Linked DNA regions of Nothobranchius furzeri. The main gene of each other region encodes a partner of the protein of the gene in region 5 in a complex. Links are inferred from orthologs where the notes say so. Each region holds a gene or a part of one and is shown on either strand. Other genes may lie near its edges. The genes, in order: tmem231, b9d1, cc2d2a, mks1, tectonic-1, b9d2 and transmembrane protein 237B.

The links.
Region 1: tectonic-1 (region 5) and tmem231 share a complex: the UniProt entries of both Homo sapiens proteins name them as parts of the tectonic-like complex. The link is inferred for Nothobranchius furzeri from reciprocal best matches to the Homo sapiens genes TCTN1 and TMEM231.
Region 2: tectonic-1 (region 5) and b9d1 share a complex: the UniProt entries of both Homo sapiens proteins name them as parts of the tectonic-like complex. The link is inferred for Nothobranchius furzeri from reciprocal best matches to the Homo sapiens genes TCTN1 and B9D1.
Region 3: tectonic-1 (region 5) and cc2d2a share a complex: the UniProt entries of both Homo sapiens proteins name them as parts of the tectonic-like complex. The link is inferred for Nothobranchius furzeri from reciprocal best matches to the Homo sapiens genes TCTN1 and CC2D2A.
Region 4: tectonic-1 (region 5) and mks1 share a complex: the UniProt entries of both Homo sapiens proteins name them as parts of the tectonic-like complex. The link is inferred for Nothobranchius furzeri from reciprocal best matches to the Homo sapiens genes TCTN1 and MKS1.
Region 6: tectonic-1 (region 5) and b9d2 share a complex: the UniProt entries of both Homo sapiens proteins name them as parts of the tectonic-like complex. The link is inferred for Nothobranchius furzeri from reciprocal best matches to the Homo sapiens genes TCTN1 and B9D2.
Region 7: tectonic-1 (region 5) and transmembrane protein 237B share a complex: the UniProt entries of both Homo sapiens proteins name them as parts of the tectonic-like complex. The link is inferred for Nothobranchius furzeri from reciprocal best matches to the Homo sapiens genes TCTN1 and TMEM237.

What each region holds. Positions count from the first base shown.
Region 1 is NC_091744.1:86,205,128-86,208,237, reverse strand, and holds the end of tmem231 (transmembrane protein 231), read right to left. Parts: intron 2,133-3,110; coding exon 1,989-2,132; intron 1,563-1,988; coding exon 1,481-1,562; intron 1,379-1,480; coding exon 1,273-1,378; intron 1,134-1,272; coding exon 971-1,133; 3' UTR 501-970; downstream 1-500. UniProt on the Homo sapiens protein: Transmembrane component of the tectonic-like complex, a complex localized at the transition zone of primary cilia and acting as a barrier that prevents diffusion of transmembrane proteins between the cilia and plasma membranes.
Region 2 is NC_091752.1:49,448,100-49,452,093, reverse strand, and holds the start of b9d1 (B9 domain-containing protein 1), read right to left. Parts: upstream 2,801-3,994; 5' UTR 2,612-2,800; coding exon 2,549-2,611; intron 2,425-2,548; coding exon 2,356-2,424; intron 1,351-2,355; coding exon 1,242-1,350; intron 1,166-1,241; coding exon 1,069-1,165; intron 979-1,068; coding exon 916-978; intron 239-915; coding exon 171-238; intron 99-170; coding exon 1-98. UniProt on the Homo sapiens protein: Component of the tectonic-like complex, a complex localized at the transition zone of primary cilia and acting as a barrier that prevents diffusion of transmembrane proteins between the cilia and plasma membranes.
Region 3 is NC_091748.1:39,031,130-39,034,629, reverse strand, and holds part of cc2d2a (coiled-coil and C2 domain-containing protein 2A), read right to left. Parts: intron 3,029-3,500; coding exon 2,943-3,028; intron 1,491-2,942; coding exon 1,389-1,490; intron 1,321-1,388; coding exon 1,237-1,320; intron 1,161-1,236; coding exon 957-1,160; intron 871-956; coding exon 717-870; intron 634-716; coding exon 497-633; intron 405-496; coding exon 273-404; intron 1-272. UniProt on the Homo sapiens protein: Component of the tectonic-like complex, a complex localized at the transition zone of primary cilia and acting as a barrier that prevents diffusion of transmembrane proteins between the cilia and plasma membranes.
Region 4 is NC_091750.1:66,889,933-66,893,563, reverse strand, and holds the end of mks1 (tectonic-like complex member MKS1), read right to left. Parts: intron 3,475-3,631; coding exon 3,432-3,474; intron 3,343-3,431; coding exon 3,280-3,342; intron 3,203-3,279; coding exon 3,132-3,202; intron 3,057-3,131; coding exon 2,987-3,056; intron 2,908-2,986; coding exon 2,800-2,907; intron 2,282-2,799; coding exon 2,148-2,281; intron 1,934-2,147; coding exon 1,851-1,933; intron 1,608-1,850; coding exon 1,510-1,607; intron 938-1,509; coding exon 834-937; 3' UTR 501-833; downstream 1-500. UniProt on the Homo sapiens protein: Component of the tectonic-like complex, a complex localized at the transition zone of primary cilia and acting as a barrier that prevents diffusion of transmembrane proteins between the cilia and plasma membranes.
Region 5 is NC_091741.1:109,995,319-109,999,379, forward strand, and holds the start of tectonic-1, read left to right. Parts: upstream 1-1,261; 5' UTR 1,262-1,441; coding exon 1,442-1,691; intron 1,692-1,770; coding exon 1,771-1,891; intron 1,892-2,154; coding exon 2,155-2,288; intron 2,289-2,730; coding exon 2,731-2,879; intron 2,880-4,061. UniProt on the Homo sapiens protein: Component of the tectonic-like complex, a complex localized at the transition zone of primary cilia and acting as a barrier that prevents diffusion of transmembrane proteins between the cilia and plasma membranes.
Region 6 is NC_091743.1:62,503,167-62,505,938, forward strand, and holds b9d2 (B9 domain-containing protein 2), read right to left. Parts: upstream 1,623-2,772; 5' UTR 1,185-1,622; coding exon 657-1,184; 3' UTR 501-656; downstream 1-500. Other genes in the region: poc1a (POC1 centriolar protein homolog A), read left to right, coding at 302-316, 1,964-2,048, 2,179-2,350, 2,551-2,730. UniProt on the Homo sapiens protein: Component of the tectonic-like complex, a complex localized at the transition zone of primary cilia and acting as a barrier that prevents diffusion of transmembrane proteins between the cilia and plasma membranes.
Region 7 is NC_091742.1:64,222,251-64,226,513, forward strand, and holds the start of transmembrane protein 237B, read right to left. Parts: upstream 2,801-4,263; 5' UTR 2,617-2,800; coding exon 2,593-2,616; intron 2,407-2,592; coding exon 2,377-2,406; intron 1-2,376. UniProt on the Homo sapiens protein: Component of the transition zone in primary cilia. Required for ciliogenesis.

The DNA.
Region 1 (3,110 bases), on a different chromosome or scaffold from region 5:
AACAGAATGTGTCAGGATTCCAGAAGACAAAGTAGAGAACGGAAATTAGCTGAATCAAGTCTTTAGTCTGCTGCATGAATTTTTTAAGAATCCACAACACTCTCAAAATGAAAACCAGAGCTGTCATCTTCACAGATTTATTTTATTTTAGGAGAGGCAGAGGATTATAGGATTTGGCTGCATTTACTTAGGCCTCAGTTCTCAACAGTCTCTTTCATTCTGCTTCTTAACAACCCCCACACCATAATGCTGCCACCACTGTGTTCACTATAGGGATAAGCCTGCTTACATGTTTGAAGTTTTGTCTGTGAAAATTAGTTTTTACATTATTTGACCACTGAATCTTTTTCATCAAGCACAAACACGTGATTAAAAACTAATCCTAGGAAAGAAGTTGTGCTTTAACAGCTTTAATACGAGAACTCCTATTTTACTCATGATAGTTCCAAACGACTCATTCCTTTCACACGTTGTTTAATAAATACCCAGTAAAGCTATAATAAGTTTAAAAAGTCTTTATTTTTGTCAAAACCAGTTTCAAATGTGTAAAAAAAAACAACAATATAGAAAATATATCCTTATGTTCTTTACAACTGAGCCGCTAAAATCAAACAAAATTTTTTTAATGATTTAAAAATAAGAAAAAAGTTGAAAAATCTACATAAGATGAAAAAAGTTACTAAACTGTTGAAACTCACGTAATTTAACATAGGATTTGTAATATCTACGATGTGTAAGTTGTTTTAATGTGACAAAGAAGAACAGTTTGTTCCCCGATGCAGATCAGGATGTATATGATCTTATAACAACATCTTTTAGAATGCTTAAGCCTACAGAATAAACAGATTAGACAATAACATATAGCTGAATCAACAACGAGAAGTCCAAAGAACAAACATTACAGACATGAAGCAAATTGACAAAAGGTGTCATCTGGTCAAAACCTAAAAGATAAACTTTCAGCTCTGCATCACGACAGGTGAGGTTTTCCTACAGGTATGGGTACGGTTGTTACAACCTGGTTCTGAAAGACAAATCTCTGGATGCGTTTGAAGACCCACAAGAAGATGAGGAGAACGCTGACATACTGGATCCAAGCAAACTTGATGGTTTCCCAGAAGCCAGGACGATAAGTGGAGGGAGGCAGTTAAGAAAACGTTAGAAGAATTATAACTCTGAGTCATGGTTTATGTAATCCGTCTCCTAAAGACGAAAAGGTAAATCAGTCACAAGACAACACCTTTTGGTGATCTTTTAGATATGAAAGGATATCTGATGAGCTCCAGCGGGTAGCGGATTTCAGCGTTAAGCTCAAAAGGTGAACCAGCAGCATGTCCTATAGTCCACACTGGCATTGGACAAGACAGCACAGTTGTTACTAAATAAAAAAGAAAAGACAATTATAAAATTATAAATACTTCATTATACAAAACCCGAGACCGTGGGCGTCGGCAGAGAATAAATCCCTCTGCTTACTTACCGTTTCTCTCCTGGTAGCTCCTGATAATGTTGCTGAGGTCATAGGAACTTGCAAAGGGGCTGGTGCCATCGATCACTGACACCTTTAGGTCAGTAAACACAAAAAATAATACTTTAACATATTAATTTAACATAGGGCTGCACAGTGGAGCAGTGGCTAGCGCTGTTGCCTTGCAGCAGGTCCTGGGTTCAAATCCCAACCTGAGGTCTTTCTGCATGGAGCTTGCATGTTCTCCCTGTGCATGTGTGGTGTCTCTGCGTACTCTGGCTTCCTCCCACAGTCTAAAAACACGACTGTCACGCTGATTGGTTTTCTAAACTGCCCGCAGGTGTGTGTGCATGGTTGTTTGTCCTGTGATGGACTGGAAACCTGTCCAGGGTGTACCCCGCCTACTTGCCCAGAGACTGCTGGAGATAGGCACCAGCCCCCCCACGACCCCGCATGGACAAGCGGGTATAGACAATGGATGGATAAATTAATATAAATAAGGAATAAACACTATTCTCACATTGTAGATGTTGTACAGGCCCCGATGAGGAAGCGGTGTCCTCTGCTGAAGCCTCAGGTCTCCACTGATGAACAGTTTAACTCCAGGTACAGGTGAGGAGTGCTGCACATAAGCCAGACTCTGCATCACCACTGTCGACATCCGCTAGCAGAAACCAGAGAAATAGAAATGCTCTGACTATTAAATTAAACAACAATAATTTAAAGGGACTTTTCGGACTTTTGAATTTTAATGCCTGCGATTGCCCCCTCAGGCCAAAAGCATAACAGCAGCTTCAGTAGTAGGCTCGTACACGAGGCGTGCACGCTGTACGTGCACACTCCTTAACGAAAATAACAGCTGAGACAGTCCCGTGTGTGTGTGTGTAGGTGTGTGTGTGTGGCCCGGAGGACAAAAGAACACACAGATAATTAATTAAATAATTTGGTTCTGTACCTTTCTCTTCAGCACAGCCGACAAAGGTTTATGACGGGTCAGTCCTCCTGCATGCTCAGATCATTCCCTTCCCTTGCTTGAAAAATTGTTCCAAAATGAAAGTTGAACCCACATCTTTTTTATCTGTGAATTCAATGCCGTTCAGCGAGTCTCAAATAAAAATTTGGGCATCTTACTGTAAAAAATATACCATTAATGTAAAAAATAAACTCTAAATAAACTATGTTCACATCCAGAATCAAACCCAGGTCTTCTGCACGAGAGTCAGATATCTTACAAGGTGAGCTACACTCTAGTAACATTCAGACTGTCTAACATTTATATCCTTGATGACAGCTGAAACAACGTTCAAAGAACGGTTCGGAGTGAAAATGGCTATTTTGTTGCTAATTAGCAGGAAATATCTAGAAGAAAGTTCTACAGAAAGTAGCTAAGGGTCCTCAGAAATGTAGCTAGCTTTGTCACTAGGCGTTAGGAACAGCGACAAAGTGGCACTGCCTCTCTCTCTGCTGCTAAAGCTACGGATAGCAAACGCTACGGGCGATGCCTGAGCGTGAACGCGCATGAAGCAGCCTGCTCGACCCGAGCATCTCTCTTTTTCTGTGATTTTACATAAAAACAGGCAATCACAGTAAAAATGCCAGGGCTCATTCTACAGGACCAGGGCATTGCAGGAGAATGTATGAA
Region 2 (3,994 bases), on a different chromosome or scaffold from region 5:
GACGTGTGACGGTCCCACGTCGTAGCCCATCTTCTTCATGTCTTTACTCATGATGTGAAAGGAGACGGTTACAGAGCCTTGGGAACAAACTCTTGTCACTGAAACGGAAAAATATATATATGTTAAAAGTTTTATTCTAGAAAGGTAAAAGAAGAAAAAGCACCACTAACCTTCTCTGCCTTCACCCTGGGCCACGACCTTAGGGTCTGTGTACTCGGGCCGCCGCCCCAGCAGCCAGCTGAACAGAAATAGGATCTTTTAGCGTGTTTCTCTGAAACAGTTCACAGCTTCCTGAATAATTTGCATCCTTCACGAAGGCCGTGCTAATGGCTAGTCCCAGTTGCTGCTGTCCTAAAACGGCACAGGTCTGCTAAAGCTCACTGTGGTTCATCACATTCTTTACAAATGTAAACATCCCCAATAAACTAGCATTTCTGGTGCATCAGGGGTCAGGTCCTGCAGGAATTTATTCATATTTCTGCTAAAATGTCTATGTGATGAGAACCTGACAGCAGTGAAATGACCTCACATGGCGATCTATGACATTTAGAGGCCTGGATGTGGCTCATCAGTCCTCTAGGATGCACAGTCTGTTTCTCTGACCAGATAATTAGTAAGTTTTACACAAAACGCTCCTCAAAATGGCAAAAAACTCCATCAGATCTAATAATAATCACATTAATATTCAGTTTTCATGGTAAAAATGAAAAGAAAAACACTAAAAAGACTGAGAGCAACATCAAACAAGCCCGAGTGTGAATCTAAAGTATCCAAACGTGACAAAGATTAGTCAAAAATGAACCTTTAAAACGTGTGTTTGTGTTGGAAGCTTGCGTTCCACATGAGAGGAAGATGAAATATTTACTGTTCCTCTAAAGATCACGGGTTTCCAACAGCTAAGGAGACCGATCTCACCCTGTGAACTTCTGAAGTCTCCACGTGGGCTCGGGAACGAACATGGGGATGGATCTTTTATGTCTGACAAGTGAAAAACATTCAGATCTGTATCTTCAAACCGAAGTAACACATTCTGTATGCTTTTAGGTCAAACATGAAAGTAATACTGACTGTCCAGGTGTGAAGGGGATGTGCGTTGCTCCATAGCCTCTGACCACATCGTTACCAAACACATCTGGTCCGTACACACTCACCACCAGCTGAGGCCCTGGGGGACAAACGGCGTTAATCCTAAAGAGTCACACATGATGATGATGATGATGATGAAATTGTGATCTACTCACACCCAAAAGGATTTGTGCTCTTAAACGTCGTCTCCAGAGGAAAGTTCCAGACTAATCTCTGTGTCTGACTGTTTTTGCAGGTTATTTGAGTTATTCCTTCTTCCAGTCCCTGGAGAGTCACATTCGTTACAACACAACTCCATCCAGCCACCGCTGCATTAACTATCTATAAACCCTGTTCTGTATCCTTGAAAGTCACGTCTGACGTTATTGGGCAATACCATCGTCCGATATTGGCATTAAAATGTAACATCGTTGAGTTATCTTTTTTACTGTTTGAATGACACAACCTTTGCATAACATGCTCACATTATACATCAAACTCCTCAAACACATCAAAATATGGCTGATCTGAGGTTTCGTTTGTTACTGTCTGCATCTGTGTGGGTTCGTGTTCAAACGTAGTATTATCCGTAAAAAAAAGCATATTGAACATCTTTAACAATAAGGTTTATTGTTATGAACCCATCTGTAAACACAGCATCCACATATGTGGAAAAAGCCTTGAGATATCATTTTGTTTATATCTTACAAAATTGTATTATTACTCAAGGAAACGTAATTAATTATTTTTAATTTAGAGCTAAAAAAAATCCATTATCAGTTAGTATTTGCTTTAAATAATATATTTCTGAGGTCTTACAAATCCAGAACAGATAGATGAAAATTAAAAATGCACAATAAGTGCTCTCAGAACCCAAGACGTTTATTTTACATGAACGAAGAGTGGAAAAGAGACATCTTGCCCAATAGTGAGCCATATCTGATCACCCATATATTTCCTCTAGTTTCTATATTAAAACATTTCAGAAAGTTACATGTTTTTTACACTTTTGACGTCATGTGATAGTTATGTTTTTATAATATGCTAATAAATTGTTTATATAGCAGTCTGATCTGTGTAATACATACAGTCTAGTAGAAGTATACCGGCAAGAATCCGGCCAGTTTAGTCTCATTCTCACCCTTAATTCGTGCATAATAAACACTTAATGGCTTTAAAACGTTGAAAACATTAATAACATCACTATAATAAATGTATTAGTATTGTAAAGTGGTACCCAACAAGCATACTTCATGTTTCATCCTAAATGCTAATGGTTGTAATACTCACTGTGGTTGGAGCCCAGTCGTGGCCGTACACGTAACAATATTTGCAGTACAGATTGTCATGCTCTGGAAACTGAAATAAAAGACAAACATCACCATAAACAACCCGGAACATCCCGGATGAAGCACCAAACGAGCCATTGTTGCTAATGCTAACGCTAGCAGCTAAGCTAAAACTAGCTAAAAAGACGACTTACGTTCGCTCCCTCAATCTGCCCGTTCACCGTGAGGAGGAACACGCTCGGGTTGTTTGTTGCCATCGTGACTCCAGAGGTTCAAGAAAGTAAAAGTCTGTTAAATAAGTCGAGCTAATTTGGTCAGTCTGAAGCGATCCGAGGTTGTTGCTAAGGCAACGTTTACTCCTCCCTATGGCTACCGGTTTGGATAAAATTAAACGCAATTCTTATTGGTGATATTGGGCCATCACGTGTTAAAATTAATTTTAAATAGAGCAAAAAGTAATTCAAGAAATTCAGTCAAAATACTTATTTTTATAAACACCCGAAGTTTATTAAAAGGAGAAAAGAAGGCGGAGAAACAATATAAAAACTCTGGTTTAATTGTCTAGGCGTCCACTAGAGGGTAGCAAAATCAAATACACTGACTTTTAAAAATGCAGGTTCGTTCTCATTCACGACTGAAATCACTTCACGACCAAACATGTTTGAAAATCGTTTTTTAACCTTATTACCAGCCCTGAAAATGTTATTTCTCAACCATCGTTTTATTGTTTTGTAGGCCCAAAGGACTGCAATGTCTGTTCAACAATAACTGAAACAAAACAACATCCAAAACAAGAAGCCTAACTTAAAATTTCCAGCTAACTGGACACCTCCAGTGCTGTATATAAACATGGATGTCTGCTTTTCCTACTGCGCCACATGCTTGAAAATCAGAAATGAATGAAACCAAAAAATCTGCATTCCAAAGTATGTAAACCCCTCTGGCACGTGTGTCTAAATACTGTGTTTTGTTTCAGATGTGACAAAAACAGCTCTTTCTTTCAGCTGTTTCATACCCAGCAACCTTTTTTTTTTTGCTCTTCTCTCAGCTCTCTCCCACACAGTGCTTCCTGCTGTCTCCAGGGCCCACCCCAAGTCTTCTGACCTTTGCAGCTCCATAAACAGCAGCTCTTATTGCACCTGCTTCCTTTTATCTCCCATTTTGTCTGCCAAGCTCAGCACCTGTATCACTTTTTCACCTCCAGCTCTTTTTTGATCTTCGCGATCATATGGCAGGAACTCGATGCATTTAGAAATCTAGCCTAACCCTTTCTGACCACTTGGACCCATCTTCTGATGGCTACTTCCAGCAGGATCATGCACCATGTCACAAAGATTAGATAATCTCTAACTGGATCTGGAACATGACCATGGGTTCCAGTTACCAAATCTCAGTCTGGTCCAGAATCTTTGGGATGTGGTGGAATGGGAGATTCCCCTCATGGATGTAAAAGTGGGATGACATGGACCAGAATCTCTGAGGACGGGTTCCAACACCTTGTTGAATCTATGACAGGAAGACAGGGAAGGCAAGTTCTGAGAGCATAAGCCTAGAAAACTAGACAAACCAATGCGGTTCAAAAATATTTTACCCTGCAGGTCGGTCTACCCACACTCTGTGGCCTAAACAACTCTTGGTCA
Region 3 (3,500 bases), on a different chromosome or scaffold from region 5:
TGTTTATGATTAAAGATGAGATCAATTAAACTACAGAAGCATTTGTATATTAAAAGATTCTGAATGCGTTGCATTTTCTCTAAATCTGCCCTTTGTCCCTGTCCGTTAGCAAGAATGATCTAATTACAGCCTGCCAGTACAGCGGATGGACTCCTATTATTCCTACTTATAGGAATAAATCTTTACTAAAGGGAAGCCTAATAAAAACAGCAAAAATGAAAAATCTTCCTTTTATTAACCCTGCGGTTTCATTTCTTGGTAACTAAAACTACCCTCCGGTAAACAGTTTGCAGTGCAGGATGAAGGTCCTCCTCCATGTCAGCCAGTGGCGGTCGCGTGGACGATTCTTTCACAGGGTCAGGCAGAGTGATGATCCTCCCATCATCTCCAAACCACTTCCTTCCCTTCAGGAGAAACAAACATCACAAAAACACGTTTGAATATTAACATCAAAATGAGGACAGTTATTTGTTTGAGCAGAGCAGCAAGCTGACACCTCGTCCATTTTCAAAAGGCGGTTCTCTAGAATGTTCTCATTGGTCAGAGATATGGCGGGCCTCTTTCCCACGTAGAGACCCTCCTCCTCCAGGAAGCGAGGCTTCATGTTTTCAGGCAGTTTGACCGAAGCTGGCACTGCAACACAACGAATCATAAAGACACGGTTCCAGGTAACGAGCAGCCGGCTGTACGTCACCAGTGTGAATCACATGTTTTACCAGTTCGAAAGCTCGGTGTGAACAGTTCACTCTCCTGCTGAATACGTGTGTGGTAACTGACATATTCAGCCTTCTTCACTACCAGGAAGTCTTGAGGAGAATGATCAATGACAAACAAGTCATCTGCATTTTGAACCAGGTGAGCTTCATCGCTCTTAAGCAGGTGCAGAAAACCAGAGTGAATGTTTTAGAACAAGTAAAAATAATCATCTGAGCACAATCCTCTCACTGATGTGGTACCTGGTTTACAGTTTCATCTTGATCATCTTCCCCTCCGGCATCTTCTTCCACCTCAGCTGCCTTTCCTTCCTCCTCATCTCTGGCCTCCTCTGCAGATTTTCTTCGTATTTGCCGTTTTCTGCTGAGCCTCTCATTCGGACGATCAGGCTCAAAGTTGAAAGTAAAGAAATTGTATGACTCCTCAGCCGTTGGGAGGTCTCTCACCTGCACGTACAATATTAATGGTAATTATAAAACTCCATACAAGTGTTTTTGTACAGTCTGAATCTAAGTGTCTTACTCTTCTTGCAGCCTCTCTGAACTTGATCCGGTTGTGAAGAACCGGAGGGTCATCATGTCTTCCTGCACCGACTGGATCAACCTGCTAAATTAAATAATAATTCATCTCTCCAGCTATTTTGGAAACCAGCGTTCTTTTGTGGTTGACCTCACCCTTGTGTCAAACCTCGTCACGGTGTCTCTGTCTCTGAGCTGTTGGAGTCGACTGGGTGACTGTACAGAAGCCTCTAGCTGTTGAAGCTTCTCTCCTTTAGACTGGAACACAAGATCCAGGCGTGATGTGTCAAAAGGGTCCCTTGCACATGTAGCGACATGAATGGCCTCATTTGTGACCCAAAGGTCACACACACTTCCCCAGCTGGGTCACGCTGTCCTGGCTGAACTTCAGTCCACAGCTTATCCATCACAGGAGGCGTAAAGTCTGCTAAAAACCATCTTTTCTCTGTCTGCTGTTCCGTCCAAGACGAAGGACACTTCAAGATTTAAAATAATCATTTTTAATAAACTCTTTACACTGTTTATTTCAAGGTTCATACATAATCATCATGGTTCATTATAAATGTATTTCATTACTGAAATGACTTATTATTCTTTGGTTAATAATAATAATTATTGTTTATGATAATCAGTAATGTTTGATCAGTAACCAGAAGGTCAAGTACACGTGTACACACCATGCAGGGTAAAGGTAACTGCACCTCACACGTCTTTGCTCCATAACCAAAGCTTTCTATCTCTGAGAGGGCGTGTCCTGAGTTTTAATAAAACCAAAAACTCCTCAGTTGAAGTTCAGTCCTGAACCAACCAAAGTCTCTCCGTGGCACGAGAGTTCCACGAGGATAAGGGTCGGCCGCCCGAAGCCTCCACCTGTCACGCCGATAGAATCGCTCAGAATAAACACCACCTGCACCAGCGGATGCAAAACTCCTTCAGAGTTAAGCCAGACGCAAGCTCAACACTGTGTACCCTGCGACAACTCTTGGACCAGAGAGTCGGTACCACTCGGGTCTCCCCTACCGGACCGAGTACCCAGAGGCTGACAACATCCTCCCTTTGACCTCCGGATCCACACAGAGGGTCGTCTAACTGGGTGAGGTGGAACACAGATGGCGTCCGACGCTGTTCTCTCTAAGAAACAACTCAGTTAGCTGCAACAACTCTTTCACCCACAACGTGTTTCTCTCTCTGAAAGAAAACTCTGAGAATCCATCCACGCATTCCACTTTAGTTTTCACCCAGACACAGGTTGCTTTTAATACCAAGTTTTAATATCAAAGCTGTTACAAATGGTCATCTTTAAATTATTAGTAATAAATTCTTAACTTTTTAAACCTGACTCTTCTTTGAAATGAAACACAGAGTGGTGTACATTTGGTTATTGAATAAGCAAAGATTCCATTAAGTCTTCTGTTTAATAAAATTTCTTAAATTAAATATTAATCTTTGGATTAAATATAGACCAAGACAGTTGGTGTAGGAACTTCTATCGATTGTATAAATATCCTGGATATTTATACATGATATAGCTTCATATGCTAATATTGTTGCTCTTTCTCAGGATCTAACAAAGCTGATAGCAAACAGCTTTAAATCCAAGTATGTAGATTGTCCATGCTGCACAGACTAAAATGTCTATGTGTGACTGTATGATTTAAATCCTAATTACAATAACAACGTATTTGCATGCCAGAACAAAAAAGTACTCACCCGTGCCGCTCTGAGCTTCTCCTGCAAGTGCTGTGTCACAAAGGTGTCTAAAAACACGGAGCTGGAAGGCTGTGGGGTTGCTGAACCTTGAATAAAAGCACATTGGGAAACAATAACTCCAATTTTTGTTCAGCATTGTGTGTTACTTGTTAATTCATCTGACAGAGCCAAGCAGACGTGCATACCTCTGTTGATCAAAACTAATGTGGTTGTTCACTCCTCTTTCTCTCTGATATCAGTTTTCTCATTATAAACTATATTAAAATGTCTGTTCATGTCTGAAGCTACAGGGAAAATGTTGAGAGAGCTGAATCCTCCTTTACTCAAATACCTGTACTACTGGTGAAACCTGATTCAGAGCTGGTGCTAACATGTGAGTCAGTCACAGCTGGACAATGTTAAAGGTCCACTTCACCCATACTACTAATACATTTGCAGTGGCCCATAATAGGAATGAATGCCTTGTAAGTCTTTCACTGGGGTAAAAAAAAAGCTCTGGTGCACCTGCTTGAAGACGTAGCATTAAGCTAGAGGAGAAAGTAGTTTCAGATGACAGGA
Region 4 (3,631 bases), on a different chromosome or scaffold from region 5:
CTATGTACGAAAAAAAGCATCAACACTCATTCCGCAGTAAACAGCCCCAAACAGTGAATCTAAATAACCACCAGGGTTTTAGTTTCAGAAAACCGATTTCAGTTTTCGTTTGAGCATTAGGCTAAATCTGACACAAAAAAGAGAAAAGCGACCAGCGGCCCAGTTCCCATCGCTACATGCCTACTAGAGATACGCTAAAGCAGCCATACATTGACTAAGACACACAATTTACACATCAAAAAATTACACGATTGCAAAATTAACGTGAAATATGTGTACTTAAGTACCTGGTCGTGTGTGAAACTGAGAGGGAAAATCGCTGAACGGTCCTTTCCCTGGTTGGAGGAAGATGGAGAATGGTGCGTTTACAGTCATGGAAAATTGGACTACTTCCCTTTGGAGCTAAAACGAATGCTACGTTGGAGGACAACCCGCAGTCAGATAATGCGGGTTTCAGTCCATTTGTTTTGTTTTAAAAATGGGGAAAATATACCACTTCATTGCATATTTAATTTTTATTTAGTTAACCTTTATTTCAGATAAGAAAAATAAACAGTAAAATAAATAATAAAAGAAAACAGTACCTTGAATTTTGTAAAAAAAAACTGCTGGTATTATAGTACATTTATTAGACAAGTGTTATGCTCCATCTCCTAATGTTGGTGTAATAAATCGTTTCTGATGATTTTTTAAGTTAATAACATTTGTCAATAAAATGTCAGTTACAGTCTGAGAAGAACAGAAGATGACTTGAGACAAACTTTTCAGTTTTGGAAGCTTGTGCAGGATCCTAAATGCATCTTGAAATGTCAGTTTTAGTGTGTTTTTGGTTTTTATGCAGAAAATTCCAGCTCGAGTTGGGAAGTAGAGTTGATGGCTTTTTGTGGGAACGTTTCTCTGGCCTCTTGTAGCTTTTTGTATGCTCTTTGAAAGGCCTCTGAAGGGAAATAAAACAAACAAACAGAAAATACAAATTAAATTAACCCTGCAGAAAAATTCCCTGTTCTTTCTACATTTTTGTCTACTTTGGGCAATCAAGCTGCAATGCAAGGCTTGGTATACAGTCCATAACATTTTGTGAGTGTCCTAACAAATCCATCTTCCAGTGGTTTGAAATAACGAGAATCTAAATGATAAATGACCCATAATTGTATAGCGCCTCTCAGAGTAAGGACTCCAAAGCGCTGTACACTACAGTGTATCATTCATCCATTCACACACACATTTACACACTGATGGTGATGAGCTACGATGTAGCCACAGCTGCCCTGACGCTCGCTGACAGAGGCTAACTGGTGGCATTATGCTAATTTTCACTCCCGCTATCATAAAATCATTTCATGGTAAAAATAATAAATGGTGGAACATTCAGAGCCTGATTACAGTAAACTTTTTCACTTAACCACACACACAGAACTCACAGCTCACACAAACAAGGATACACTCAGCAGCAAACAGGAAGTGAAAGTCTTTTAAACCCTGATGCAAATACTGTGTGAGTATGTTTACCCAGAACATTGCAAACATCTCCCTGCTGACTAAATCCTCCCAGCTGGTCGATGACTTTCTGCCTCCTCTTTTTCTGAATGGCAGCGTCAACAAAGGCCCTGAAACAACCAGAAGCGAACAGTAAACACTTTTTAAAAGTAAAGATGAAACAATTTGCATTAATAATACAGATCTTTGTGAAATTTGTAAATGGAACACTTGCATTTGCATTAAGAAATAGTGTTTTGCATGCAGTGCAGAGAGTAAATCTCACTTCTGATGTTTTATTCATTCCATATAAACTGTTAAGCTGTCAGGGAGAAAATCAGAAACAGCTGCTTGTTGATTAAACTGGTCTTTACCTGGCTTGTTGGATGCAGTTCAGATTAAATGTGACACTTCCTGAGGTTAGACTGCAGAAGCCCAAGCGACTCAGCCTGTCTCCCTGAAACCAGACACCATTGTACCAGATTAAGAATCATAATAATGCATTAATTTACTTGCTTGCTCAGGTATACACAGTTAACTTGGTGATAACGAAATAATGCTACAACTACCACAATGTATATTTTTAAAACATCATGTTTCACCCATTAAACCTTCAGGAGAAAATTTATGCAAAGGTTCAAAACCTGGAATTAGCTTAGCTGTGAGTGCACCTTGAAGGTCCCTGGTATTCTGACATAGCTGTGATCTTCAATCTCTGCAGAACCTCCGATAAAAAAGCGCCTCAATGCAGAGACCGTCCCCATCTGAAGAGGTCGCCATGTGTGACAGGTCATGGTGTGCTTACCTGGGATGCACCAGAAACAGAATATATGATGGAGATGAATGATGGAGCATGCAGAGGAATTATTATTAACTTTTCTGAACCATGTGAAGTTAAAAATCTTGCATATTTGAAATTGTTGGTATGAATTCATTTGTAGTACAATCTTTGGTGAATTATCTGAATATCTTTAAATTTTGTTTTTGAATGTTCAGTAGATAAAACTCAGTCAGGGGTGTCGAATCCTGGTCTTGGAGGGCCATCGTCCTACATGTTTTAGAGGTTTCCCTGCTTCAGCACTACTGATTTCAATCAGCAGGGGATTAGAAGGCTGATCAAACCATTTAATCTGGTACTTTGGAGCAGGGAAACAACTAAAACGTGCTAGGTAGGGTTTCTTGAGGAACAAGGGTGGACATCCCTGGACTAAAATAAAATAACACTTTTAAAGACAATTAAAAATAACAGTAATGTGAATCTAAAATCATCTAAATAATAAAGAAGTAAATTAGTCAATGAGTCTTATAGATGCAGCAGCATACCAGGAATAGCTGGAAAAAGCAGATAACCATAGCCTTCAATACGATAGCGCCCCCACAGGTCAAGAGAAAGAACTTTGAAGTAAAGCACTGGCCACTGGGGAATTAGCTCTGAAATTAAAAAAAGTGAAAACACTTAAATTTAGACTTTTAAATCACATCATTTCAAAATGAAAAGGCTCACGCTGACCTTCACTCTCTTTCTCACTCTTGTAAAAAATCTCAAAGTTGAAGGGGTAACTGAAGAAAGCCACATTTTCCTGTTGGCAGAGATCAACGTGTGTCAGTGTTCATGTTCTGAAGCAAGTAACCAGTTTCTTACGTCAAACACACACCTTCCCCAGTGATTTGGTTCGACAAGTCTGGGTAACCCCTGACAGAAACTGGGGCATTGAGCTGGACCAATCTAAAACAAAAAAGTTTACTAAGATCTCACTAAAACTAAATATCACAAATGAGTATCACAGACGGCTTGTTACTCACTATTGGGAAGATCCAGGACGAAGTGGACGTGTAAGTTATCATACTCAAATCCTTTAGCCGAGACTAAAGAGAAAAAGAGGGAAAAGAGAGAGTGGTAGTTTGAAAGTTGATGGGTAATCTAAAAAGATAGCGATCACAGCCGTCCTCCTCACCGATCTCTCCATCCATCAGGTAACGTAGCGTACCAACAGCGGGCTGGACAACAAACATCTGGTTAGCGAAAAATGTTTGCAAAGAAACAAACGTTCCCACTGGTTCATCTAATGCACTTTAATCAGTTACCAGCTCAGAGGCCTAGTGGTAGAGGGTCCGCCCTTGGACATCGGGGTTCAAACCCGGTCGGGTCGTACCA
Region 5 (4,061 bases):
TCCTTTCATCACCAGCTGCTGATGCTTGTAAGCTTCTTAGTGAACCAAAAACCTTTGGTGTTTCATTCACATCCAGCCCAAAACCCCTAAAAAGCGCTGTCGGCCAGTTCTCTCACCCCTGCATGTTCTCTCCCGCTCAGCCAATGGCAGAGGATCAGCTGGTGGTTAAAGACACCTGACAGGAAGCCACAGGTTTACACCTGACACCTGTAGGGGCTGAGTCTCACTAGATCTGGGCTTGATCCACTCTCTGTCAGAGGGCCTCCGGAGTTTGATGGAGGAGACGTCCAGCTGGAAACCCTCCTGGTGAGAGCAGGGAAAGAGCCAAACCCAGCAGCGGACAGTGGAGGAATAATAATAATAATAATAATAATAATAATAATAATAATAATAATATACATTAATTGATCCTCTTGGGTAAATTATTTCCCCACATTTGACCCCTCCCTCAGGGGCTGCATTGTGTATGGCTCCTGGGGGGCGACTTAAGGGTTCAGCATCTTGTCAAGAACGTTTCTGACGTGACCTTTAACCTGCTGGGATTGAACTGAATGGTCGGCTGCCCCCCCCCCCCCCACACACACACACACACATAGCCCTGGCCACGTACAAGTCAGAGGAGAAGACGAGATCTATTGTAATTCACCTTTAGTGGAACAAGTCAAACGCTGAAGGAGGCCAAAACCTGCAGTCTGTGTCTCCATCTAGTGGAGAAAACTATGAACAGAATGTAGAATGAAATACCCTGAATCCTTCCGATGGGTTAAAAAATAGAAAAGTACGTCATTATTACAAGTTATAGAACACGTTATTTCGAAAAACAGTTCTCGTTAAAACGTGATATAAATCACGTTTTAACGAGAAAGTTTCTAATTTTAACAAGAAAGGATCTCGTAATAACGAGAAACTTTCTCGTTTGAACGTGTTTTATATCGCGTAATAACGAGAACATTTCTCGTTATTACGCGATCCTGGTCCTGAGTTTTTTTTCCCTGCACTGACGGTAATACGCTTCCGTAGAAAAGTATGAATAAGTAATAATAAAATATCAAGTGAGGCAGAAATCCATTTTTAAATTATATTCACACATTCGCATACGTGGTGAAGGCTGTTATTACTTAAAATTTTTATTGACACAGGAACATATTTTTATTTTATTATTTCCGTATTTGTGTGAGGGAATTAAAAGAAGGTATAAAAACAGCTGATTTCCTGGTAACACGTGAAGCACGTGGAGCTGCTTTGTGTAGGAAGCAAAAGTGTCTGTTTTTAGTCTGTGAACGAATCCTTTCTGTGCGGTTCAGTTCGCTGGTGCTTTTCAACAGCAGTTCCACATATGAATGCTAGGCGGCGGTAAAACAGCTGTAATTAGAATCAATACCAACGAAGAAGAAAAAGAGTAGGAAGAAGTAGAAGAAGAACCATAGCAACGCTAAACAACATGGCGGTCTCGGCCGCTGTTTTCTCCATATTAAAGTCTCTCTGGTTGTTTCTCTCGATTACTTCTGTCGCTTCGAACCAAAGTACAACTAACGGCGCGTTTAACACGACTGAGCCGAACTTTAGTCACACCGTTACGGATAATTACACAGAGTTCGAGTCCACACCGAGCCCCGGCGGAACGGAGAATTCCCCCGTAGCCGCCGAGCCGCTGCCTGTCTCGGGCCATCTGCTGTCTGCCAAGACCAGCGGTAACCGTCCACGCTTCCTCTGCTACTGTGACAGGGTCCCCACGCTGCGGTTTAATGTGTGTGTGTGTCCGTCCATCAGCTGACAGCCTGTGTCCCTGTGATGAGGTCCTGGGTGTGTGTGACACCAACTGCTGCTGTGACCCAGAGTGTGGAGGGGAGGTGGTTCTGTTCACCAGCTGTTCGCTCGGTTCTGTGAGGAGGTTAGTGGACTGGCTGGGTTCCACCTAGAACGGCTCCTCTGCTCTGCTTGGTTCATGTTGCTGGAAGGTCCCTGCTGCTCTGGTTGGGAACAGGTGTGGCGCTCAGCTACATCACACAGTGGTGGTGATTAAGGAGCCACATGGAGCAGAAGAACCTAAATAGGCTCTGAGACCTGATAATTACATCTCTTCCTATTGAATGTTGCTGTGTGTTCTTATTAAGCTACACAAAAGCTGCCTGACTTGTCTCTGCAACTCTGCAGTGGCAGCCAGCAGCTGTGTAACCAGGAGGCAGCATACTACACTCTAAGGACCAACGTGAATGGCTACTCAGAGCTGCAGTCAGCGGTCCAGAAGGAGGACAACGCCAACATCTTCTGCATCCGATCACAGAATCGTAAGACACCAGAATTCCTTAGGAAGAACCAGTTAAGCTGTTTGAATTTAGTCAGTTTGACCGCGTCCACCTAGGCCCACTTGATCCCATTAAGGGTGATGGGGACTTGGCTCCCATCTTCAGCTGTTATTAAGTGAGAGGTGGTGACGCACCTGGACAGGTGACCAGTCCCCTAATTAAATTGTTATTTAATAACTTTAATTTTAGCACTGCGCAGTGTGTGTCGGGTCTCTAGATGACTGATAGAAAACATCAACTGAGAAAAGCTCTCACACTCAGCTATGTGTAAATAAAGAATCAATCAGGACGTATAAACTAAGTTAAAACCTAAACAGTAAACCATGATTAAAACCAGATTAAAGTTCTCTAGTTTGTTTTACTTCCAGGTTTATTTTTCTAAAAGGGGTTTGTCTCACCTGCTGTGTGATATTCCTCTCCGTAGGTATTGATGGATTGTCCCATCCCTCTCCAGCTCTTCCAACTGATACCAACTTTGACCTGCTCTTTAAACTGTTTGCTCCTTTTCTGTGGAGGATGGAAAACTCAGATCAGGCAGCCCCGGCAGGAGTCCAGGACTCACGTGGATACCAAGTGAGTCTTGGGCCCAATCCCAATACTCGCCCTCGTGCCCTTCAATTGCACGATCCCGACCACGGCTGCGAGTGCGTAGGGTGTCTCGATTCTCAAATGCATAAGCTGATCATGCCCCTTTTGCACCCATGATCCACACTTCACTCAAGTCTGCAGCGATGCAGACTTGAGTGAAGTATATTACCCACAATCCATTGCTGCAGGAGAAAGGGCTCAAGTTCCATATCCGAAAATATGTATTTTCTAATGAAAGTAGTTAATTTTAGAACAATTAGTTGATGCTCTGAAACTTTAAGACAAAGCAGCGAAGAATGCCAATTTATTTCAAATAATTGTTTGGTTGTTTGTTTGAAAGTTTTTAATAAATGTTTTTAAACAAAGTATCACAGCAACCAGCATCCCGGCATACGCAATGCTCCCTGTCTCAATTCTGTAATTATTTGCACACTTGTGTACTACGCACTCGAAGCCTTCCAGCGCACTTTCTCCAAATGCACTTGGCTGAAGACCACAGGGAGAGTATTGAGATTGGGCCTTAGTTGGACGGAACAAGTATTAATGGGTCCAGTGTCGTAAAAATTAGTTATGAAAAACAATCCTGCATATGCAATTCAATGTATACGTTTAAAAACTGCTTATGATAGTGCTAAATATGATCATTAAAGCAAAAACAAGAAAGAGAAACTAAAAATGTCAAATCAGAATCAAAGATGTCCTTTTCCATGCTGTTTGGTTTGAGAGTGATTTGGTGGTAGTTGAAGTCAGAGGTCAAACTTTTAGGTGCCATGGACCACAGGCATACGTAGACCCCCCGTGGGCTGGTGCTGCCTATTGGAGCTACTGTAGTGGCTGGCCGCCATCTTGGATGGGTCTCCATTCGCCCCCAGTGCATTTATTTCTACTGAGGAAGGCGTTTAGCTAACTAAAGAACACATTTAATTATGTTTTTCACAAAATCAGACACATGATATTGCATGGCAGTTCTAATATAAATATAATTACATAAAATAAATTAAAATACAATCATGGCTTTTGCAGCCGTCATTCTGCGTTGACTCTAGTTGGATTTGGAGAGCAAAGAGACCCAACCAATATGGCGGCGAAGCTGTTACGCTCTCCAGCACATAATGAGGTGTCTACATATTCGTGTCTACGCCAGGGGCGAATGATCTAGTGTGTTAA
Region 6 (2,772 bases), on a different chromosome or scaffold from region 5:
TTATTTTGTTATTCATCGTTTTTACATTTGATTGAAGTCTTTTTTCGACACAAACGTCCTTTAATGTCCAGCGTCCCCTTTAAGGACTCTGGCCAACAGCTCAGCGCCCAATCACGGCGCGTAAACTGAACTCTGTTGTTAGCAGCTAGCATTAGAAAAAACAATTCCAATTACCGGAGCGATATTTTCCTCCCTCTGTTCATTTCAAAACCCACAGTTGAGAACAATTGTATTTCGGTCATAATAGCCAAAGCAGCAACGAGCCTCTTTACTCGGGTGTACGTGCTAAATACCGGGAAAAATGACTTCTGCACTGGTGAGTTTGGCTAGCACTTGTTACTGTAGCAACTGAGGAAGTTCGTGTCTGATTTGTAGTAGACTACTTGTTTTGGTTAACGCACACACACACACACACATGTTCAAATATTCATAACGTTACAAATATGAAATATTAGGTATAGTTGGATTGATGGTAAACGGTAGATGAATAAGAAACCAACTTCAATGATAAGTGTTTATTTATAGCTGTATTTCAGGTGTAAAAACATCAGCATAGAAATGTACAAAACTTTGCCGTGTGTAATTTTTCAAAGGCATTTGCGACAAAACAAACTTTTTATAAGAAAACAATCAATACAACATTCTTATTTGACGTCTCAGCTCTCGACGCCATGTTTGTCAAAGTGTCTTATGATGACGCCCAGCTCCAGATTCACAGTGCCCATGGCCTCGGTGTGCAGTCTGTATCTGTCCGCTCCACTGTAAATCAGATCCGGGTTGCGGAGCTGGGGGCCTCCGCCGACAAATATTCGTGCTAGCTGCTCTTGCCAGGAGCCGAGCGGCCTCCATGTCACACAGCTTATGCGGTGATGTCCGGGGCTGGAGGGAACGTGGCAGTACCCGTATCCGTACAGCTGGTAGCGGCCGAATGAGTCCTGGTGCCACACTTGCAGATGAAGCTTCGGCCAGCCCTGGAGACCTTTGGTCGCATAGTGCAGATCAATTGGGTGGCTCCAGTAAGCCATTTCTCCGCTGTGGGGGGAATCCACCTGAGTCTGACCCTCCTTCAGCCCCGAGAGAAGACGCCATGCTCCCCCCGTATGAACTTCCCATTTGCAAAATAGGCTTTTTTGAGGAAACCCGCTGGCCCCGATGATCTGTCCTATAATGTGAAGCTCTGCCATTTCACAGCTGTCCGCTTTAACCAGAACATGCGACACACGGAGCCCGCTTTTATCAAAGGCTACAGAGCAACAAACGCAGCTCACGTCTCCTTGGTAACCCAGCCTGCCATAGTGTGCTCTTAATACAGCACTCCCTGAGCAGAGTCTGTCAGGCAGCACTTCCTGTCTAGGGCTGGTTCTATTTTTGAAGGCAAATGAGACACATTTTTATATCTTCTTGCTAAAAAAATATTACTTAACCTTTAATTTAGTAAACTAATTACGAATTTTAACCAATTTAATTAATGACGTGAAGCAGCTGTTACATAAATTACAATCATACCTGAAAGACTGAATAAAGGGTATACAAGAACCGCTGGTTTACTTTTTTCCGAATAACTATTTAACAGCGCAAGTTCAACAAGATGGCAAATGAAGTGCACTGTACTTTTTAATGTATTGTTTACATCTCAATGGTGCTTTATTTTTTAAGGTTATAAATTCTAAAAAGCTATTTATTTAGATATGCTTTCTCCTGCTTTTCCTGATGACTGTTCATCTTGCAACTTTTATATAACTCAATGGATAACTAAAGAAAGTAAAATTTATTTATATAGAACCTATTGTAGAAAAGAAAATCATGAAGTTCTTCAATGAAAATTACATAAAAAATAAAACATAAAATACAAAAAAGAAGAAAATATCATTTAATAACAAAAGTGGTCATAAAACAAATGAAAAAATAATTTCCAAACATAAACTTGTAAAATAATTGAAAATCTCTGTTGATTTCATCATAGTCTGATCCAACCCTAGAGAGAAATTTCAAGGGTCACAGGGACGTCGTGACAAGTGTGGACTTCAGCCGCAACATGAAACAAATTGGTAATATTATTATTATTTGATCTGAGCCTTTGTCCGTCTATATATTCACCTGTTATCCAGTTTGTTGTGTGCACATTGTAGTTAATACCAATCTCTTGCTTCAACCAGCTTGTGCTTCCTCCTTTCTCAGTCACAGGCTCTATGGATTCTTGTGTGATGATCTGGAACTTGAAGCCTCAGATGAGAGCTTATCGTTTCGATGGACACAGAGAAGCTGTAAACTCTGTCCAGTTTTCTCCATCTGGTCACCTTGTGGCCTCGGCCTCTAGAGACAAAACTGTACGTCTCTGGGTGCCCAGCATGTAAGTTTATACGTAGCAGCATTTTATGTTGTTTTCTTCTCATCAAGTTTCTCCAGAAATTATCACTCAAGACAAAGCTGTGGATTCCTAAAGGCAAAAGAACAAGATCTGCTGATTACTCTAATTTCATCATACCAGCGCCCTGAATAAACAGTGTGTTTGTCTGCTTTATGTATGAATAATACCTTTTGTGTTTGCAGGAAGGCTGATTCAACTGAATTCAGGGCTCACACTGCCACTGTGCGTTGTGTTAACTTCTCCGGTGATGGACAGAGCCTGGTCACAGCGTCTAATGACAAAACAATCAAAGTGTGGACGGTCCACAGGCAGAAGTTCCTCTTCTCTCTTAACCAGCACATCAACTGGGTCCGCTGTGCCAAGTATGAAACACACACACTCCCATTTAATACCACACCATGCAA
Region 7 (4,263 bases), on a different chromosome or scaffold from region 5:
AATACCTGGATGTCTCACCTTAGGAATCGGTACAATTTCTGCATCCTTCCACGGTTCAGGGAACTTTTGTAACCGTAAAGATTCATTAAAAATGTGGTGCAGTATAGGTGTCAGCTGGTATGCACAGAATTTAAGTAAGTGGCCACAAATGTCATCTGGTCCTCGGCTCTTGTCCACTCTAACTGTCCTGATGGCCCTACCTATGTCCTCCATGTCAACTTTAAAATGGTCACTATCCTTAAATTTCTCCCTCAGGACACCCTGTTCCCCGCTGAAATCCAGAGCGTCATACCGACAATCAAAACTGTTCAGGGCATTAGCTAGTTCCCTGTCAGTGTTAAACGGGTCTAGACAGATGGTTGTGTACTGTGCCTCGGAGCCATGTCCTGCAATAATTCTCATGCTAGTCCATGCTGAACCAAGTTTATTTGCTGCCATTTTGTTCTCCAGCTGTCTTCTATATTCATGTTTAGCCTTTGTAATTTCTCTTTTTAACAGTATGTTAGCCCGCTGTAACTCAGCCACTGACCCCTGTTTAAAAGTGAAAATGAATAATTATGCTGCCTAAACTAAGTTTTGAGGAGTGTGCAAAGCACTAATCAAAGTGCTTTCCTCAAAATAAAAATATTCCCTTTGGATCCCCGCTGGTTACAACATTAGAGTAATGTATTGCAAACTAATGGAATTTAAAGGCAACACGTTAAATGAAAGACATGCATGTTTACCTTTCAGTATGAAGTGCTATTAAATCTAACTGGAAACTGTCAAACACGGCATGTCGGTCAGAAAAGGGCAAAAAAAAAAAAACATCTAGCTAGCAGTTATTTTCTCTAATGAAACTGAATTTTCAGAAGTGGTATCGCCAAATACAAACCAGATCCGTGGCAAGACATTTCAGTAAATCCATTTTTACAAACAGTCACATCCTCTCCTACAAAACCAGACAAGCACACGGCATGAGTGTATTTAAAGCACCGACTCTCGTTAGTGACAAGATCATATCAAACAGGCAAGATGACAAAAATCTTACCGTCGTCGTTCTGGTTATTTCAACTAAGAACTGAGTCAAAGTGAAGCAAAGCAACACGCGTCATCCCAACTCTGAAATCCTCGGCTAAATCTGGCAGGACTGAGGATTACTTGGGGTCAAAGGTCAGATGAAGCAGCAGTGAAGTGGTTTATTACAGAGAAGTTTAAAATGAAAGGATTCAGTGGAATCTGGTTTAATCTTTCTAATGATACTGGTACAACAGTAAACTACTCAAAGGCCTCACTTGCATATTTAAGTATATAAATAATAAACAAAGAGCTCCAAAGTTTCATAAAGCTATATGGTGGTTGTTGGTAAATCCTTGGTCAGTAGTGGGCTTGTCATGGTACTCAGACCTGAGGGGATTCAGATGTCGTTCTGGATTCCTTTTTTCCTGAATCCCTTACGAACGGGGCATGGTTTGTTGCTTTTTGAGGTCTTTTAACCTTCCTTCTTCATGCTATCAGACAAATTCTATTGAAGTGATTTCTTAATGCTACAATTCTTCAACAGGGGAAGTGAAGTTATCTTTATAGATAAGGGGTTAATTTAACAAAAGGGGAAAAGTGTTTAAAGATAGGGCAAAGTTGTTTTGGATAGCTTTCTACTCCTTCGTTTTATGTTAACCCAGGTTATATTTGACTGATATTTACATTTTTTGCTTATCTGAAACATTTTTAAATGACCTGACTTTCTAGTTCTAACTTCCATCGTGTACATTTATTAATGCTCAGCAGTCACAATGAAGCAGGTGCTTCTTTAGACAAAGCAATATGTTAGTAATAAAAATAAACACTTCTATAACAATATAAAGATTTAGACGTTTTTGAATATTTCTTCACCGTTATGAAGATATTTTACAAAATATTTAAAATCTTCCAATAGCATATTTTCTTTTAAAACTCCTCAAATAAGGACCATTACTTTTACGTTGTAACGTTTTACGATAAAATTTGCAGTACTTCCGCTTTCTAGCTGAGGTGCTGCTTTCAAAGTAAAAGCTGACTTCCGGTTCGTGCTTTCACGATTTAAAAAGCTTTAAAAACATTTTTGAAACTCCTTACAGTAGCAAAATAACATAGTTAAAATATGTCCCAACGTTACATTAGACGTTTAGTATTTGTGTGGGTGTTACTGGAGTTATGCTTCTCTTACACAACATCTATCATCTAACCGTCTGTTGCCATGGAAACGTGGTGAGTGTGTGAATGGCGCAGCCGGGGAAGAGCACGCTAGTATGATCGGCGGTCCCTCCGTTTGTTATGACACTGCGGCTGCAGTAAGTAATTCATATAATATGAGAACAAACAATGATGAGGCTGCGTACGTGGGTGTGAGTCACTGACCTGTGTTAGCGGAGGGAGCTCCCTGACCCTCTGAACATACAAAGAACTTACATTAGTTCGAGCATTATCGCGTACAACATTAATATTATCACATAAACACTTCAAACGAACAACTTAACACAATAATAAAGCATTTGACTGGATTGCATTGATATTATTTGACGTATTTAAATCACAAAACACTATGAAGGCTAGCTAAAGAGGGTAAAAACTTCCCACGTTTGCGTGTCCTGCGTCCATTCTTAATCTTTTCACCGAACAACACGACAGTAATAAGCAACCCGGTCACACCCTCATCAAAATAGAAGCAGATTCTACTCCAAAAATGTTTTTAAACTCGAGTAGCGCGCTAATTGTGTTTGGAGCAGCGTTCTTGGACACCGGATGTGCGCGCGAGAGCAATGTTTACGTCTTCAAAATAAAAGCGACGGATCGACGTAAATATCAAAATGTATTATTGTTATTAATATAGAATAGAAATCATTTTTTGTCAGTGGAAGAGGTTGAAACCGTAGACGGGGACTGTTGGATAACCTTTGACCCCACATGGATTCACCCTGTAAGGAGGCTAATCTTTTCTGGAAAGCTCAGTGTTTTTCATGTAGATTATACTTTTATGCGAAAATGTTTTTTTATGTCTGTAATTGTTTTATGTGTCTTTTCATCAAGTTCTAAGATATGTTCTGCTTTTGCTGCTGCCTCATGGCCTGATCCTTGTTGTAAGCAAGTCACAATTACAATAAATATGAACACAAATGTGCAGGAAAAACGATCTATTCATAAGAATTTAAGTTTTTAAATACAACTTTTTGAGATACGACAAACAAATATGTATTCTCTTTTAATAGTTTTAAACAAATTATGCTTTTTAAAAAAACATATCTTAAGAACTACAAAGATATTTTTGTCACTAATGACACTTGATAGAATTTAATCTCCTAATACAGTGAAATGCTTTTCTCAATAATGCTGCATTTTCAATAATGCTGCATATTATTGAGAAACAAGTGTGAAGTGGGAATCAGTTTCATGTTCACTTAGCTCTCTCTAGCGGTCACTCACCGCTATTGCATCCTGCTCACCGTTGTTGAATCAGGAAAGATGAACAACAAACTACGGTAGTTTAAAAAGCTAAGAAAAACATGCAGCGTTATACCAATACAAAAAACATGTCTGTCGCCATGAGCACATTTATTTAAAAGGGACACACTATGAAGATTTTAAAGCTATAATAGTTCTTTAAAACAATTTTATAGTATTCTTGGTTTTGTTAACATTGCTGTAAGCCAATCAGAGGCTAGATGTTGGCATATCATGAATATTAATGAGAAAGACTTGTAATCAACACCAGAGCATTTTTTGTACAGAAAACGACTAAAAAGGGATTCAGTCATAATAGAGACCAAAACACATTTCTTGAAAAAAAAAAGTGAACGAGACTTTTTAATTTGTAAATACTCTTGTAGGTAACAGCTAAATGGGAGATGGTATGCATAGTGCCTTCTAGAGTCTTTAAACCCCTCAAGGCACTTTACAATACATCAGTCTTTTACTCATCCACACACACATTCACATGCTGGTGGTGATGAGTCACAATGTAGCCACAGCTGCCCTGGGGCTAACTGACTGAGGTGGGTCTGCCGTACACACTAGTCACCAGTTCCACCTGAACACCACCAGCATGCAAGGAGGGTGAAAAAACAACTGCGTCAGACTGAGTGGTATCAAGTCTCTTGAAAACAACCAGGTCTCCAGTAACTAACCCATATGTACCCCAAGTTGTGTATTCCTAAGCTGTGTCAGACCCAAGTTAAAGCTTCTATAGTAAATATGGAAAACAAGTTGGCCTAAAACTTTTAGCCTCTTAACAACATTCTAACGTAGTAA